Daphnia pulex: one gene and its partners. The protein of the gene in region 1 purifies or fractionates together with the protein of each later gene. This does not show direct contact. Links are inferred from orthologs where the notes say so. Each region holds a gene or a part of one and is shown in the gene's direction. Other genes may lie near its edges. The genes, in order: vesicle transport through interaction with t-SNAREs homolog 1A-like, syntaxin-8-like and vesicle-associated membrane protein 2-like.

Region 1 (3,254 bases):
AATTTAATGTGTGTTGTGATTGGTTTAACGGATTTAATATTATAGAACCTGTTAGGAACCGTAGGAACGCATCATGTTACGAAACTACAAGATTAAATTTGTCTTTCCAGCAATCTAGCAAGCCCAATGAATAATTTTACTGTGATTTTAAAACTATGACCTGCACGGCGTTTCTTAAAATAAATTTCTGAACCGCCTTGGAAACAACAGCCAAGTAGTTTTATTTTGATTTAATCATTTAATTAATTTAGTAAATAGTTGACATTATTTTAATTTCTAGTAGTATGTAAGGACATCCTGTCTAATTGGTTGTTTCAGCAAAAGAATAAATGTTAACCTCTTGGTGAAATAGGCTGACGCTAGGTTACAGCTGTAAACTAGCGCTAAGATTGTTAAACCTAAATTTATCAATCCAACTTCTAATCCGAAAAAAAAAAAAAACTAGTCGGATGCACAGAACACATTATCCTAAAGCTTAAATAATTTCAAGCGAGCCATGAAGGGGACACCTTTTGACAGTGAGAAACACAAATACAATAATACCACATGATGCAAGGTGTATTAAAATCCACCCACACTTCATTGGAGGACATTTAAACTTTGCCTTTAGAAGATTTAACAGCAGCCTGCTGAGCCTTCAGTACTTTGGCTACTATTTTCTGCTCTTCAATCAAGAACGCCCTCACAATCCTGAAATTAAGGAAAACATGTTAGAAACACCAATTTAAAAATGTACTGAGCACAACATACTTCTCTCTGACACAGCTGTGACAAAGACATCCACCATAGGCACGGTAGACTTTCTTTTGTCTCAGTGACATTCTTTTTCGCTCATGAGCTCTTGCTGGTCGGATACCTCTGAGTGTAGTCTTGCACATACCACATTTGGGAATCTTCCTTTGCTTCTTTTTGTATTGATATACAAGGCGACCACCTGGGGTTCTCACACTGAAAACATAAAAATATTATCACAAGTTCATAACAATAAGTTGTAGGTATTGTTGACACTTCACATAAAAGTGTTGAACATTTAGAAAATTATCATTAAAAATCGCTTTCACTCAACTGATCAATTCTATCTCTAATCTAGACATCTAATTAATGTATGACAATCTTACATGCGTCGCTGGTTGCTAGCGGTGTTGTAGGAGAGGCGCCTCCGATAAGTTAAACGTTGAGCCATTTTACCTAAAATCAACAAAAAGGTTGGACCATTTAGTTCAAAACGAACACTAGTTCACATTACAATATTTAATCTGAAAAATAGTTTCAAGGAGATATGGATGTACATTGATATTTAAAAATACCTTTCGAATCCAAGCCCGAAGTGAAAAGGAGCTCTAAGAGAAAGACTTTACTTGACGAAGAGAACAACGTTCGCTGTTGCCAAGTAGCAAATAAAAGTTTTAGTCAACTGAAAAATGGAAAATGGTCGCGGAAAATAATATTAATCTTTTCTTGTCTCCTTTCGAAATAAGTTAAATATAAATTGCAATAAATTTCGTGATTTACTCAACAAATTTTCTAAAAGTAATTCACCACTGGCAACAAATCTTTTTTCTTATGTTATTACTCAATTCTTTGAAGTACTTGGCAGCCATTTTAAATTGGCAAATGTTTACGGATTATGTTTACAATTACAACTTTACATGTAGCGTCTCGCCGTACCCCTGGTGTTGTCTTGTGACAGGTAAATATACCCTATATGTTAACGAAAATGGACTCCTTGTTAAAAAGTTATGAACAGCAATTCAGGTATGTTTATTTTAAAATTTCTTCACTCACAGTTTTCAATAATAATTATGATTTTAAAGTGTCATCACTGCAAGCATTACTGCAAGAACAGCAACACTGAATGGAATAACTAAAGGTTCAATCATATTGAAATTTTCCATTTATTATGTTTCCGTTTAGTCAATTTTATTTCTAACATTTCAGCGGAGGATAAGAAATGTTCCATTCAACAGATTGTAAGAGAACTTGAAGAAACTAAGGATATTGTAAGAATATTAATTCTGCATTAATATTTGATAAATGTAACACGACTTTTAAATATTCTAATTTTACTTCAGTTGGAACAGATGGAATTGGAGATTCGAGAACTGGATACAGCTTCAAAAAACAAATATTGTACTCGTATTGAAAGCTACAAAGTTGAACTTTCCAGACTAGAAAAAGAATTCAAGAGTAAAAGAATTTCAAATGGTGGAGAGAGAGAAGAATTAATTGGAGACACTGATGCAGAAGATGTATATGATCAAAATCAACTATTGATTAGTAATGGTGAAAAGCTAGAACGAGGAAGAAATCGTTTAGAAGCAGGCTATCAAATTGCTATTGAAACAGAGCAGATTGGAAACAACATACTTACTGATCTCAATCAACAAAGGGAAACCATTCAAAAAACCAGGAACAGAGTAAGTTTAAGAAAACATCGCTCTAATATTTGATTTCAAATTTTAACATGCTAACTTTTTTTTGTTATAAGCTACGAGAAACCGATGAACAGTTAAGTCGTAGTGGGCGCTTGCTGAATCGCATGTTTGGCAGAATTATTCAGAATCGTCTTGCGTTTGTTGGCTTAATTATTCTTGCTGTAATTTTGATTATAATTACATTGTATATTAAATTTCGGAAAAGTTCTTAGCCATTCCACAATTTGTATGTATATGTAAATGTATGTACTTTGTTTCAATATAGTATTTTTGCGCACGTCATGCAACTGATGCTTTTATTTGTCATCCTACGATTACGATCACTTCAAGGTTATTTAAATCTGCAACAGATGGTCCTACTGAAATTACATAATATTCAATTGAGAATTGGAAAATTTTCTGAGTAAGCCATTTTCGACCATGAATTCTAAAAGCAATAAAAATTTCAATCACTCAAAACATCACTAAGGGAATAATTAAGTTCAGTTTCGTATGCTTATTCACAAGCATTATTTCTTATGTAAGCATCAATAGATAACTTATTCCAGCTTTTGCGACAATAAACCGAAAATACTAACTGACGGCACAAGGATTTTTATTTAGAATTAATTAAGTTCCATCGACATCTCGATTCATTTCGATCGCAAGGAGTAGATGGGTGGGGAAGTTGGGGTGTGAGGGGATTTGAAAAAAGAGCTGGGCCAAACAAATGACGTAGTCATCACATGGCGTATTTACGAGTCCATTCACGTGCAAGTTCATTGTATCGCTCTCGATCAGTCTTGTATATCCTGGCAATCTCGGGAACCAAAGGATCAT
Region 2 (3,262 bases), on another chromosome or scaffold:
AATCGATAACAATGAGATCGCAGGACGTGTTCTTGTTAGTCAAAAGAGAGTCTTCTATGATCTGCCTTTCGTCTTGAGTTAGTAATCCTAGATTGAAATATATATAAATATGTTAATTGTAAAGAAATAACAAGGTAATCTAAAAAAGAAGGGTCTAATCATTAGACTACCTGCAGTTTGTAAGGACGAAAGATTTGGATAGATTTTTCGTATAGGATGAGACACCAGACAAAATGAAAATATCAAAGCAAGCAATTGCCATCGTACAAATTGATCGATAATCACAGGCCCCTTTAATAAAATAGCGATTAAAATTATTGCATTATAATGATAAATGACTCTCAGTTGGACTTACTTCAGGTAGATCTGGTTTCAGTGAAAATATGAATACGGTAATTGATTGGTCTGTTTCGGGTGTTTGCATCGAGTATAATCGTTGCATGGCTGTTGATGTAAAGAAGCCAAGCAATACCATAAGGTTAATACTACCGCTATATCGGGAACAATGTTCGGCAAGGACCCTGAAATTCCTACAAACAATTTACAAAAATAGAAAACGATATTCAGTCAGCGCGTGGAACGTTTACCATTATAAGACTGTTGGAATGTATTGACCAATACTTAACATTTTTCCATATTCGTCGAGGATGAATTCGTAGAGAATGCTCAGCCATATGTATACTATTGCGTAGATCACCATGTGCTTCCATAACAATTTGTAAACACTTCGTTTCCATCTATAAAAGTAATTGAAATTACAATTTTGAATGAATAAGATAGCATTGCCAAAAATGCCAATGACGGAAGAGTTACTTCAGAAGAATAGACACATTGCCGATGAATTTCTTGTAGGTTTTAATTGAAGTCGTCGGATTTCCAAACATGGGATTCATCGTCGTAATCGTCCGTGCTAGCTTATAACGTGAACTTGAGGATAACTTAGAGACGTGGGACAAGGCCAAGTGGCTGTAACAAACCACTCTCACTCTTTGCTCATTACGTTCCTACTAAATGTTACACTACGAGCTGTGGGCCAATTTATTAGGAAAAAATGTCGATCCTGATAATACCAGTTAAACCACAATTAGTATCTACTTGGCCTTGTAGTGTAGGTGTAATCTAATCTAGTGGTTAAATTCAAGTGAAACCAATAATAACTTACCAGGCTTGCCGGCTGCCGCAGGAGACTGGAAATCAGAAATTGATAGACCTCGTGTATATCTACTCATAAATCTTTTCACTAAACATCACGAGGAATAAATACACTAAAGCACCGACCGTACGGTACGGGAAAGAATAACACACAATGTCACAATGACACAACAAGAATTCTGATGTGATGTCTGGCCGGCGCCGGCCATTCTCTTTCTCTTTCGTTTTTCCCTGCCCTTTCCCAAGTCTGTATATATATATACAAAGCGACACCATCGCATTTGACAGCTGTCTCGAGCAGACGTCTATGAAAGAATGGCGCTCGTCGATTTGGGAAACGACGCTAATGCCTGGTAAGTAAACAAAACTAATCTTTTAGATAATGTCAATATTTTACCTTGTGGTTCTGGCCCAAGCTCTTACCAAATAATACGAAAGACAAATTTTTGTTGCTGCATCTGTAGATGTTATCACATTAATTCTTAATTGTATCCATCAAACCAGGGAAAAGGAGTTCTCATCTGCTGAAAAATTACATTTTTCATTACTGGGGATTTTTAATGAAAGGGATCACCTACCAAAGAATTCTCAAGCACATGCAAGACTTTCTTTTCAGTTGAGGAATAGCTTGAGTCAACTTTACAGTGAAATCCAAAGTCTTAAAGGACATCTTGAACGGCTCTCACAAAATAAACAATTGTATTGTATTGACTTCCACCTAACATTAATGAAGTTAGCTCATTTCTAAAACTTTTCACTCAGGACTGCAAGAGAGAAAGAACGGCGGGGCCTTCTCCTTGAAGATCTTTTAAGCAAACATAAGCAGCTTCTGAATTCTGTCAATAGCAGGTTTGTAGTTTTTCATACTATGAATAGAAATATTTTCATTTACAGTTTTCTGTTTACTATAGCGTGTTGGATAAGAGCCAATCCCTTAGTAAATTGTCATCAGGAACAACAACCTCTTCAAATCCATCATCATCTGCAATGACTAGTGAACATATCCCTCATCGTGAACTCAAACAAATCCAAGTCCAAATTATGGCAGGTTAGTGGATTTAAATGTGTTATTCATATGTGTCTTAATAAAAATGTATTTTCTAGATCAAGACAGAGGGCTGGATGAGCTTTCGAGAATTATTGGCAGGCAAAGGCAAATTGCCCAGACAATTGGTGATGAAGTTGAATCACAAAATGGTAAATTCTTTTGATTAATTATCATAAAATAATAATAAAAATTGTATTTTCTTGGTTTAGATTTGATTGAAAACATCGCAGACAACGTTGATCGCACTCGGGATCGAATGGCACAGCAAACTTCAACAATAACTGTAGTTGATCGGAAGGATCGTACTTTTGGTAAACACAGATCTTGTTAGATAAGGTGCTTCAGACAGATGCAATAATTTCTTTGTTTTCACTTCAGGATATTGGATGGTAATCCTGTTGTTGTTTGTTGCCATCGTTGTAGTCGCTTCTATTCCGAAACATTAATGAGAAATTCCAAAGCTGCCTAAGTTAATTTGACCGTATCTCGTCCTTAAAACTACATCGATTCTATTAAAGTGATGAAAGAGAAAAATATATAACGCAATTTATTCTCGAAATGGTTGTATGACAAGTGTATTTATTTGCCCATTCTTCGTGGGGTTTACATTTAGGGCATTGAAATTGAATGTGAAAATGAACCAGGCTTCTTTTTATAGACAAATTAATTTATAACTTCCGTTAACAACTTTCGTTCATCTTAAAGGATTTGCGCATTACGGAGTAAACAATGAATAAGCATAACAGGTTTGGAATGCATAACAGTTTTTATTGATATAATTATTATCTCGAAGAAAAAAAAAGAAGGAAAAAACTAACTGTGAAACGAATGTCTCAAAACTGCAACACATTTTTTAAATGATTAACCTGGAATGTGAATAGAAACTTTAACGGCGTTTTTTTATATAGCAAGGAATTTTGACACAGACAGCATTGACTTGTTTACACATGTTCCTACTTCTCCAAGCTAGTTCCAGTCTATAGAATTTAAAAAAATGTATGTTAATCAAATTACATTTAATAAAACAAAAATACTATTACCTTCTTTAGGGAACCTCCGTTG
Region 3 (3,370 bases), on another chromosome or scaffold:
AATAAAATGTGCCTAAAATGAAAAGAAAGTTAAATAGAGGTTTTTCCATTTGGTTCGTGTAAGTAGAGGGAAAAGTCGTGCGGCTAGTCGACTAGTGCGCACCATGGCGGTGGATAGCCGAAACTTGCTGCAGACTTTGCTTGATCCAAACGATAGTCACCGTAAGGCCATGTACTGTAACCTGTCAGGCTGTCAGCAGCAAAAGTGAAACCTGTTTTTTTTCTTAAGTGTTTAAAATGACAGAAGGTTTTTGTTTCATATGTTCAACTTATGAAAAAAAAAAAAGAGATCGCCGAAGTTTTTTCAAAGTGAAATGAGTTCTTTCTCAATTGAATTACTGTTAATGTTGCATTCTGGCACTTTGAAAAAACTTCGGCGATCTCTTTTTTTTTTCATAAGTTGAACATATGAAACAAAAACCTTTTGTCATTTTAAACACTTAAGAAAAAAAACAGGTTTCACTTTTGCTGCTGACAGCCTGACAGGTTACAGTACATGGCCTTACGGTGACTATCGTTTGGATCAAGCAAAGTCTGCAGCAAGTTTCGGCTATCCACCGCCATGGTGCGCACTAGTCGACTAGCCGCACGACTTTTCCCTCTACTTACACGAACCAAATGGAAAAACCTCTATAGGCTAACTGAACTAATATATGAACAATGGGAGGTCGGGTGTGTGAGTCGGATAAGGCGTGGCTTAGTGATCGCAAGAGCACTTTGACACCTGAGTTCGACTCTACTGGTGAACATAGCTGTTTCACACCGATCGATAAATAACTAAGTAAAATAGCAATTAATGAGGTAATAACTCGTCAATGGAATGGATTATCGTTGGTTTCATTGATTTCATTGAATCTAACGAGGTGCAAGAAAGTTAGCATGGAAGTATTGCATTCAAATCCTAAGACCTACATCTAGGTATTCAAATGGCTTTACAACGTTACACTTGTAAGCCAATCGGTTAATTCTTAATCCATGGTTAACTGAATACAGCGGTTCTTTGAGTCCTAAAAAGCGTAGGCTCAGAACTCTAGATGAAGCTAACATTGATCTGGCGATGCCAGTATTGGTCTACAGAGTGAAAAACCCCATACATGTTTTTTTTTTTTTTAATTATTATTGTTTAATTGTTTAAAGTTAGATTTCTGATCATTATTCAAACTTCAGGTTTCAAAAATACTCTGATTTAGACTTTTGCCATCTATTCGCACATGAATATACTAAAAATCGAATTGTTTTTATAAAAATGGTCTTTTTACGGCAATTAGCGAGTTATTGAAGATCCTATGCTAAATGCTATGTGTTCTTTTTAAAAAATGAAACAGTACTTATTAATCACAAACAGCTATTCTTTTGCTGCTTTTACTTGTAGCCCAGCTGACGAATGTGTACACAGTTGTAGTCGTCGACAATAGATGGCGTTTAGCAGAAGATATTTGATGAAATTAATTGACAGCTTTGTTTTCCTTTAGTTATTGTAAAGTTACTAGTTAGTTTGATCCTATTTTCACATTTTCAAGAAAGTTCATAAATATTTTAATATCTGCTATGTCTGGAAGACCAACTAGACCAAGCAGGAGTGAAGGAGCAGATTTTGAAAGAGTAAAGTCATAAAGTGTTTTTACCAAAAACTCACTTGTCAGCTTTAATATTCTTTACAACTATATGTTGTTACGTGGGAGTAACTTAAATACTAACACTAAGAATCCTTGTCCTTTACAGGAGCAGCTACTAGATAATGTGTCTGATGATAGTGATGAAGATTTCGTGCTCAAGTAAGCTATTTCTAATATTTCAAATTAGTTTGTTTCATTTCAAATTTGAATTTTTCCAGTAAAAAAGATGGAGGACAATTTTCAAACAACAAGCTGAAAGAGTAAGCTTACATCTTGAGAATTCAAATTACATGTTGATCTAATTGTTTTTCTTTTGACAGGGTAAAATCCCAGGTGGAAGAGGTCACTAACGTTATGAAGGAGAATGTGCATAAGCTGTTTGCCAGAGGTGACCAGCTGGATGAGCTGAATGAGAGATCAGAAAATTTAAGAAGTGCTTCCGATGAATTTCACACTGCTTCCTCAAGGTAATCTTTTATTTTTAACAACTAGTCTACAATATTTAACAAAATCTTTACTCACCATGCAGGCTCCGTAAAACAATGTGGTGGAAAGAGATGAGAACTCGTCTCATTCTAGGATCACTCTGCGGTCTAGTTGTGCTAATTATGATAGGTATCATGTGCTGCATTTTTAAACATAGCAACTTTTATCTAAACCATTTTTCCAAATCAATATAGTGTGGCTATCAGTCAAATACCATTGATCAGCAAGAAGATTTTCAAGATATCCCCAAGTATTGAAATATGTTGTAACTGAGCTATTCTAAAACAGCTATAATAATTTGTTTTTGATTATTTTAAAAAAAAAAGCCTGTCGACCGGTATTACTAGGCGTACAAGTTGAGTCCATCAAAATCCGCAAATTCAAATATTGAAAGGTGGGGTTTGCACACTATAGTCAGATGAATGGATGACAATTTGAAATATATATTTGATTACTATAAATCCACTTAACATTGTCTTGTGGAATCGAGTGAGATTGATAATGTCTGTCACAGAAAAATGAAAAAAAAAAGTATCAAACACTTTGATGAACGGCTGATCATTTTCCCATTGTATTTCACCTTTTACACGGTTTATATATCAATTGATGAATACAGAACCGATGGTATTCCACATATATTTATACATCGTGTCACTCTCTCTCATTGGATTCCATCCCCCGCCATATCCAACCCGGTCACAGCTCTTTTATTTTCCCTCGAACTGCTGATCATTCAACGAAACTTAAATTTTTTTTCCCCGATTCGTTCTATATTCTCCTAACTTTTCAACAAAAAAAAAAACACGGAGTGAATCTGATTTTATCATCACGTACGGAAGTTTTTTTTTTTCATATGTATGTACAGGGAACTAAAAAATAAAAACAGGGGGAACGACACAGTTTTTACGTTGAATATAAAAAAGAACTCAAACAAGGAAACAACATCGTATCCAGTGGATGAGCAAAGAACGAGAGAGCAAGAGCGGAGAGGGGAGTGTGTGTGTGTGGTGGAGGAATTCAAGTTAAATAAATAAAAAAACAACCAGGGTAATTTTCGCGACGTAGTTTTATCTCTTTGGGTTGGTTTGTTTTTATTTGGTGGAAGAACAAAACGAACAAGAACATAAGAATGAAGGAAGGCATGAAGCATGCATTGGGGATGCTCAGACCCCTCCACAATTGGAATTGTGTCCCGTGGACCATATATAGTATGTATAGCAGAGTTATAGAGAACTGTACATACACACACACACACACTTGCATGTCCAA

Evidence for each region.
Region 2: the proteins of vesicle transport through interaction with t-SNAREs homolog 1A-like (region 1) and syntaxin-8-like purify together in Homo sapiens (affinity purification with mass spectrometry; 3 studies listed by BioGRID and IntAct, with this or other methods). This does not show direct contact. The link is inferred for Daphnia pulex from reciprocal best matches to the Homo sapiens genes VTI1A and STX8.
Region 3: the proteins of vesicle transport through interaction with t-SNAREs homolog 1A-like (region 1) and vesicle-associated membrane protein 2-like purify together in Homo sapiens (affinity purification with mass spectrometry; 4 studies listed by BioGRID and IntAct, counting the BioPlex papers as one, with this or other methods). This does not show direct contact. The link is inferred for Daphnia pulex from reciprocal best matches to the Homo sapiens genes VTI1A and VAMP4.

What each region holds. Positions count from the first base shown.
Region 1 is NC_060026.1:5,810,016-5,813,269, reverse strand, and holds vesicle transport through interaction with t-SNAREs homolog 1A-like, read left to right. Parts: upstream 1-1,555; 5' UTR 1,556-1,705; coding exon 1,706-1,755; intron 1,756-1,814; coding exon 1,815-1,870; intron 1,871-1,938; coding exon 1,939-2,000; intron 2,001-2,072; coding exon 2,073-2,417; intron 2,418-2,488; coding exon 2,489-2,647; 3' UTR 2,648-2,717; downstream 2,718-3,254. Other genes in the region: 60S ribosomal protein L34-like, read right to left, coding at 594-690, 751-948, 1,119-1,183; ubiquitin-conjugating enzyme E2-17 kDa, read right to left, coding at 3,157-3,254. UniProt on the Homo sapiens protein: V-SNARE that mediates vesicle transport pathways through interactions with t-SNAREs on the target membrane. These interactions are proposed to mediate aspects of the specificity of vesicle trafficking and to promote fusion of the lipid bilayers.
Region 2 is NC_060022.1:2,056,298-2,059,559, reverse strand, and holds syntaxin-8-like, read left to right. Parts: upstream 1-1,380; 5' UTR 1,381-1,467; coding exon 1,468-1,505; intron 1,506-1,656; coding exon 1,657-1,851; intron 1,852-1,914; coding exon 1,915-2,001; intron 2,002-2,063; coding exon 2,064-2,200; intron 2,201-2,256; coding exon 2,257-2,349; intron 2,350-2,409; coding exon 2,410-2,511; intron 2,512-2,578; coding exon 2,579-2,646; 3' UTR 2,647-2,759; downstream 2,760-3,262. Other genes in the region: bestrophin-4-like, read right to left, coding at 1-87, 171-291, 356-530, 627-737, 814-910, 1,163-1,229; serine-rich adhesin for platelets-like, read right to left, coding at 3,154-3,177, 3,241-3,262. UniProt on the Homo sapiens protein: Vesicle trafficking protein that functions in the early secretory pathway, possibly by mediating retrograde transport from cis-Golgi membranes to the ER.
Region 3 is NC_060027.1:3,974,343-3,977,712, forward strand, and holds vesicle-associated membrane protein 2-like, read left to right. Parts: upstream 1-1,418; 5' UTR 1,419-1,547; coding exon 1,548-1,601; intron 1,602-1,721; coding exon 1,722-1,774; intron 1,775-1,833; coding exon 1,834-1,875; intron 1,876-1,935; coding exon 1,936-2,082; intron 2,083-2,144; coding exon 2,145-2,230; intron 2,231-2,295; coding exon 2,296-2,321; 3' UTR 2,322-2,351; exon of another isoform or gene 2,352-2,415; intron 2,416-2,427; 3' UTR 2,428-2,739; downstream 2,740-3,370. UniProt on the Homo sapiens protein: Involved in the pathway that functions to remove an inhibitor (probably synaptotagmin-4) of calcium-triggered exocytosis during the maturation of secretory granules.